Macaca mulatta: one gene and its partner. The protein of the gene in region 1 interacts with the protein of each later gene in a biochemical or structural test. Links are inferred from orthologs where the notes say so. Each region holds a gene or a part of one and is shown in the gene's direction. Other genes may lie near its edges. The genes, in order: ATF7IP and MBD1.

The links.
Region 2: the proteins of ATF7IP (region 1) and MBD1 form a complex in vitro, tested with the Homo sapiens proteins (2 studies listed by BioGRID). The link is inferred for Macaca mulatta from reciprocal best matches to the Homo sapiens genes ATF7IP and MBD1.

Annotation. Positions count from the first base shown.
Region 1 is NC_133416.1:16,905,718-16,909,540, forward strand, and holds part of ATF7IP (activating transcription factor 7-interacting protein 1), read left to right. Parts: intron 1-2,461; coding exon 2,462-3,100; intron 3,101-3,823. UniProt on the Homo sapiens protein: Recruiter that couples transcriptional factors to general transcription apparatus and thereby modulates transcription regulation and chromatin formation. Can both act as an activator or a repressor depending on the context.
Region 2 is NC_133423.1:42,034,001-42,037,751, forward strand, and holds the end of MBD1 (methyl-CpG-binding domain protein 1), read left to right. Parts: intron 1-398; coding exon of another isoform or gene 399-438; exon of another isoform or gene 439-2,115; coding exon 2,116-2,305; 3' UTR 2,306-3,070; downstream 3,071-3,751. UniProt on the Homo sapiens protein: Transcriptional repressor that binds CpG islands in promoters where the DNA is methylated at position 5 of cytosine within CpG dinucleotides. Binding is abolished by the presence of 7-mG that is produced by DNA damage by methylmethanesulfonate (MMS).

The DNA of each region.
Region 1 (3,823 bases):
CCCCAACCTGGGCGACAGAGTGAGACTTTCTCTCAAAAAAAAAAATAAAAATAAATAAATAATAAATATAAAAATAAATAAAGTAATAGTAAACTCTGTCTAACACAAAAAACTTTTTAAAATGAAACTAAGTGTATTTTCACTTAATAGCAGCACAAAGAGCATTATTCTCTTACATTTTTTACGTATCTCTTTAATACTTTGAGACATTAAGACAGCTAAAGATAGCTGTATACTCATATCTGTATCTGCTTTTAGTCTGTTTTAAAATGTTGATTTGGTTGACGCATATGAAGGAAATCCAGTCTTATACAAATATATAGATGGAAAAGGGCTAGCCCTTACAGATAATTGTGGATATTCTTCTTTGATACTGTCCAGTAGTAGTTTCTTTAAGGTTGGTTGTGAAGTATAATCTGAAACCACACCAAAGAACTTTTCTAACTCCTCCATTAAAATCCATTTATTGGACCTGTGTGGTGCCTTACGCCTGTAATCCCCGCACTTTGGGAGGCCCGAGGCAGGTGGATCACTTGAACTCAGGAGTTCCAGGCCGGCCAGGGCAACATAGTGAAACTTGTCTCTACAAAAAATACAAAAAGTAGCCGGACATGGTGGTGCACACCTGTGGTCCCAGCTACTTGGGAGGCTGAGGTGGAAAGATGACATGAGCCCAGGAGGTGTAAGCCGCTGTGAGCCAAGATTGCGCCAGTGTACTCCATCCTGGGCGATAGAGGCAAACCCTGTCTTTAAAAAAAAAAAAAAAAAAAAAAAAAAAAAAAAATTCCTCTATCTTGTACTTGCACATGGAGTTTTACTAATATTCATTGATCATTTGAAAACTATTCACCAAGTTATGCAAATCTTCCAAATATTGACACATTTTGTTAATATTATTTTTAAAAATTACGTTTACTGATTTTACTATCAGTTCTACTCAGAGAAGCATTTTAAGGATTTAGGGAGCTGTCATGCTTTCAGTGACAGATAAAAGTTTTTTCTAATGTTCTTAGTTTTGCTTAAGAACTCAAATGTTATTATTACTGATAAATACAGTTGGGCTTTTTTTCTTTGAAGTGACTGCCTTACCTAGTTTATTTCTAAGAAAAGATCTTCAAAATACCCACATGTGAATCATTGGTGTGTCTATAGGTCATTCTTTCAAGTAAAAATAGTCTTTCGTGGGAAAGATTGCTAGTTTAGTTTATAGCTCAATTGCACACGCATTTTTCCTTAACTATCCTACTTTGGCAAGCAGTAGTTGTCTCGTATGTACTGCCTATTCCTTCACATGGAATATTAAGAAAAGAACCCCTATTCAAAAGTTGAGATATAATAAAGTTAATAGTTTTCACTGCTGTATCTTGGGGATTCTTAAGTAAAACTGACTTTGTTTTTTACTGTAAGCATGTGATGAAGAATGCAGCGACGTTTGGTCCATTGTACTACCTTGATTTTTGTACTAAGCATCAGAAGTTTTACTCACCATTGCTTTTGCTCCATTGGTGCAAATGTCTGCTCATTTAAAAAGTCAAATAATGTCTCATTGTTATGAAAATAGTTTTGACATTGCAAACTCCCCAAAAGGGTCTCAGAAAACCCCAGGCACCCCCCTGGACCACACTTCGAGAAACTGCTGCTCTAGTGAACCTGTGATTTTTGGAAAGACTATAAATCAGTGAGAAAGAAGTTTGGTCATGTATTTTAAACCTGTTCCAATGAGAATAAACACAAGTAGTTGAAAATTGCTATAAAACTGTAGTGACCAGCATTTGTCAGCATTTGTATTTTCTCTGTTCTTCTGTATATGCTACCTAATTTCTTCTTAATTCATCTGTCAACTTCACTCAGTGCTATTTTTCATATCATACAATGTCAGTAGGGTGTCAGTAGAGGGAACCTCCCCCTAATAGGTCCTCTCCCAAGGAATTCAGTCAAACTTGATCCAAAGATACAGACATGGTTCAAATAATAAAATATAATGAGTAAGCTTACCTGTTATTCATTAATGGTCATGACTCTTTAGATTTACTATTTGAGTTTAGGTATTACTTGCGTTTTAAGGCATTTATAATGTTTTTAATGTAGTTTCAAAAATATATATTTTTACTTAACTTTTTAGTATTTTTTATTTGTGTACTAGTTAGGTACTCTAAAGTGATTATAGTAATTTTCAGAGACCATTTTGATACTCAGTAGTCTTGCATATTAATCATCCATCATGTGCTGTTTTTGTAATATACTAAACCTACATACAAAATTCTTCTAAGAATTTAATTCTAAATTAAATTTCGGAATTTGAATCTGGAAAAAATTTCATGATAAAAGACTTTGCAGTCTTTGCGATGTATTTAATCTATGCTAAGTCTAATGCAATGTATTTAATTTGTATCTGTCATATTTTCTTAGTTGATAAATTAATATAACCATTTAAACAGAGAATTCTGTTTTCTTTCTATAGTATCTTCAACCAATCTTGTCACTCCTCCAACAGTTGTCAGTAGTCAACCTAAATTGCAGACTCCAGTGACTTCGGGTTCCCTCACAGCAACGTCAGTTCTTCCTGCACCCAATACAGCTACTGTAGTTGCTACTACTCAGGTGCCTAGTGGAAATCCTCAACCTACAATCTCTTTACAACCTTTGCCAGTGATTTTGCATGTACCTGTTGCAGTATCCTCCCAGCCTCAGCTTCTACAGAGCCATCCAGGGACTTTGGTGACTAATCAACCATCTGGCAACGTTGAATTCATTTCTGTGCAAAGCCCACCTACAGTGAGTGGTCTTACCAAAAATCCAGTATCCTTGCCATCCTTGCCAAATCCCACTAAACCAAACAACGTTCCTTCTGTGCCCAGTTCTAGTATTCAAAGGAACCCTACTGCCAGTGCTGCACCATTGGGAACAACACTTGCGGTGCAGGCTGTTCCAACGGCACACTCTATTGTACAAGCCACAAGGACTTCTTTGCCCACAGTGGGCCCATCAGGACTCTATAGTCCATCAAATAATCGAGGTCCTATACAGATGAAAATTCCAATTTCTGCATTTAGTACTTCGTCTCCTGCAGAACAGAACAGCAATACCACCCCAAGAATTGGTAAGTCACCATGTAGGTTTAATGCTAGAAATGCAAGCATGTTAATAGCCTTGTAACGATTGAACTTTTTTTTTCTAAGTGGCTAGCATTATTGGAAGGACAAAATAAATAGAATTTTCTTGATTATTTTTAGTAATTTTTTAGATACCTGAGAAGAAATGATGTTGCTAAAATGGGGCTTGAGAGGGGGTTTATTTTGAATTAGAAGTTAGTATCTGTGTTTTATCTTTTAGTAATTTTCCTAAGTTTGGTGAATTTTGAATTTATGGCTTTGTGGCAAGCATTATGAGTTACTTTTATGATACATTTGCCAGCAATGTCTGTTTAAAACATTTTAAAGTATCAAATTTACATAATATATGCTCTTAAGAAAAAAAGGCACGTTTATGTTCCTTACACATTTGGAAAATCCTTTGTGCTCTCATTCATAGCTTCCAAATTTGAACAACTTAAAAATAGATTTTCTTTCACATTTACTATAAAATGTTTGAGTCCTTCTTGTTTTATCCTTTCTGTTTTCCCATATGACATATTATATGATTGTTTGTATTTTACTTAGAAATACTGCAAAAAGGAGAACTTGACTATACCTGTTTAAAATCTGCCAAACTCTGTGTCTTCCTGGCTCCTGGAAAGAGTTTGTGTTGTATGCATTCTTGAGCTTGCTTATTCTTCATTTCTGACTTCACATGTATCCGCACTACTTTTGGAAAGGCAGGGAAG
Region 2 (3,751 bases), on another chromosome or scaffold:
GAGCCCCAGACACTGGCAATGTAAACTATTGGCCAAGCACGTGGATTCCTTTGCTCCTACAAACTAGCCCACCAGGCTGGAAACCCTTTCATCTATGCTTGGCCAATTACAGAAGTCCTGATTGAGTTCCTGCTGGGTGCACAGCATTGAGGACAATGAGCCCTGCAAAGCTTATATCCTGTGTCAGGAGACACAAGATACCTACCTTCAGGGAGCTTATTATCTGACTATGGACAAGCTGTCTGTAATGGTAGTTTTTAGAAGATATAAAAAAAGATAAAGGTATAATTAAGGGGAAGTGGATGGAGGACACAGAATACTAGGAAATGGTTTTGTAATGCTCCATTTCGCATATAGCAAACCTCATTCAACATACAGACCTGCTCCCTCTTCCCTAGGTCCAAAGACCTTAAAAAACCTGGAGCTAGAAAGCAGTAGACTGGAGGCTTCTACAGACTGTAGGATTCAAGGTGATATTTGCAGACTGGCTTTATGAGAGACAACACTGATCTACTAGGGGCTGGACCCTAGATTGGTTGCCAGGGCTTGTGTGTGAATCAACCCTAGGAGGAAAAACCTACCACGAAACCAGAGGAGCAGGCCTAACAGTACTTTGAGCTTCTAGAAGAAGTAAGCGGGAAAGGAAGAGAAAGAGTAGAAAGTTGGTGCATCTTCTCCTCCCCAAGAGCCTGAGTATAAGAAGTTGGATTTTAAGGGTGGGGGAGCTGGGATGGGGAAAGGTAATATAATTAAAACCACCACAAAACAACCTAAACAAGCCATGTTCATGAATAATTGTAAGTGGCTTCTGGATGAGACCTGGCAGTGTCTCTACATACTTCCTCAGGGAGACAGCAATTGAAAATGTAATTGAATAAATAAGGAAAGGAACTGCTATTTGGTGTGTTCCTCTGTGGACCCAGTTTATTTAATCCTTAGAATAATCTTTTTGGGAAGACATTGATTTTGCCCATTTTTGTGAATGGGAAAACAGACTCATTAATTTGTCCAATGTCGAACAGCTGGTGTTAGTAGAGCCTAGAATGAAACCCAGCTTTTAAAGCCCTTGTTCTTTAAGCCACTAAACTGTAACCTGTAATCCTGTATGCACTAATAGGAGTTTTTGGTGACCTTCAAAACACAGATTACTATAAGTACTATAATAAATCCCTTACATTCCTGTCTCTAGCATGGTTTAGAAAGTGCCAAGACTCGATGTAGATGGGGTCACCTTGTCAGAACATCTGTTCATACAGAAACTGGGTTTCCTGCAGACCCCAGGTGCTGCATAGGATTCCTCAAACCCTACAGGATATATCTCCCCACTGGCTGCTGTCCATTTTGCTTGTTACCCTGACTCCCCCTCTTCAGCTAGAGCAGTCTTTGTAACTAAAGCTGCCAGCCTGGCTCATCTTTCCTGACAACGTGCATCTCCTGCCCTCTGATGACCTTTGTGCTTGGCTCCTGCCCTCAGCCCAAATGTCTTCTAGGAGGCTGAATTCCTGCTTCGAGTCCTGCCCAAGGGCCAGTCTTGGCTCAGCCCTACCTCACTCTTTCCAATTCTTCATTCATAAAGTGCCAAAAAGATTAGACCTGTAATTTGTTAGCCAGCTTTACAGGGCCAGGACTGAGTGAGTGCCTCCTTAAACTTTGTATCCTACGTGCCTCCCTTGCCTTACCCTAGTCCCAGCCCTGCAGCTTTAAGTAATTCAGACATGGATGAGCCATTTCCCAGTTCTATCATACAGTCCAGCCTCTGCCACCTTCGCCACCCCTTCCTTTATTCCACCCTAACTAGTTCAGCCCTAGTCAAGACTGGATAGACTGATACTGCTTTGTTTCCCCCAGGAACCAACCACCCAACCCCAGTATTCTGGTAATTTTGACAATGAACTATATGAAATTTATTTGATTGACATTTAGACTCATGAGTTAAGCTTCTGCCTACCATGTATGTTAGGGTACAATCAGAAGAGCAGAACCACTAAGATAAAGATTATGTATATATGTACTTTAAGGGATTTATTATAGAGATCTGACTGCATGCCATTGTGGGAGCTGGTTAAACAGTCTCTGTAAGGCTGTTATCTTTGCATCTAATGCTGGAGCTTGAAGTCTGCAGGGCAGGCACTCGGGAAGGGAAGATGGATGTAAAGTGTGGGAGACCGAGGACACAGTGGAGCCCACGAGCACGAGCTGGAACCCACGAGGATGGCCTGGAACCCATGTCAGTCTCTCACCACCTCCAGCTTCGATGATGTGGGTGTCCTGCAGAAGAAGCTGGTGCCCTTCCTCACAGAGTTAAATATGCATCTGGCCCAGGAATTAGAGAAGCTGAAGAGATGATCCTGGGGAAGGTGGAGCAGCTGCAGGCCTGGCTGCTGCCCACACCAACGAGGTGATCCAGCAGATACATGACAATGTGTGAACTGCAACAGCGCCTGGTGCCCCAGCACCAGCCTTCCAAGTGTAAAAACAATATGCTGCTGCTTCACTTCTGCCCTCCAGTTATCAAGCAAAATGTCTCTTGTGGCCCATCTTACTGGAAGAGAGTTCTGGGAAACAGCCTCACCAAGGTGACACATTACAAAGCCGCCCTACCATGAATCCGCTCCCAAGGGTCTCACTACTCACCTGAGGATAACTCAATATAACCATGTTGCTGAAAATGCAAAGCTGAAGACCATGAATTTCATGGTGATTCCAGCAAGTGCAGAGATTCTATGAAGCCCACCCAGAAAAAACTTGCTGGTCCTGGCTATTTTTGTGTCATTCAAGTATTGAGAACCAGGCCTGTGGTAGGCACTATACTTAATACTAGGATACAGAAATGCAAAAGATACGGCTCATGCAATTTTATTAAATGCATCAATATGTATTACAAATGGTGAATGGATTTCCAACTTTATCATGGAATTTAATGCTGAATATATAGAATTCAGAAAATTATTGGGAGGACAGCCCTTTTGTGAACCTTGTTTGGGGCACAGTAGGAATTGGAAATAATTTAGTTTCTATCTCTAAGCTGTTCTATTTTAAAATTATTTTTAAATTTTTATTGTCCCACTTACATGCTCAGTGTTTCTTTTGGGAGTGGTTTGGTGGGAACAGTGTTGACTGCCTCTGAGAAACTGGGATAGTGGGTGGGAAGATCAAGGTCACTTCTTTCCAAGGACCCTGAGATTCACTTCCCTAGGCCGCCGGGGCGGGGGGGGGGGTTCACTGAAGGCTGAGGCTCTCGGTGCTCAGCACTGGCCGGACACCGTCAACCTGCTGGTGGGCCCGCCAGGGGGCGCCGAGGCGAGAAAGCCCGTAGTTCCCGGTCGGGGAACCACTGGGACCCTGGAGGCACCGCCCGTCACCCATCACCAGTGGCCTGGCCGCCCTGGGGCGTGGCATCCGTCCGGCGCAAACCCCAGTACCTGGGCTAGGGCCAGAGGGAAGCTGAGTGCCCCTCTTCAAATAGCGGTAAAACAGGCAAAACCGACCCAGGGTTAAATTTCGGAGCACGTCCAGGGTGAGGGCGGGGCTCGACGACCTAGGACGTTCGAGTGCAGCCGGGTGTCGCCAAGGGTCGGTTTACCCCATCGCCTCAGAAATTGTGACCAGGCCCTTTGGGCTGCACAACCTTGGGAATCCCCAGCGGGCGGCCCCGAATCGCCGCCGATTTTCCCAAGCCCTGCTCCGGGCCCAACGCGTTTTCGTTGCCGCCTTCCCGGAGGTGTGGTGGGGGAGGTTCCTCCCAGACCAA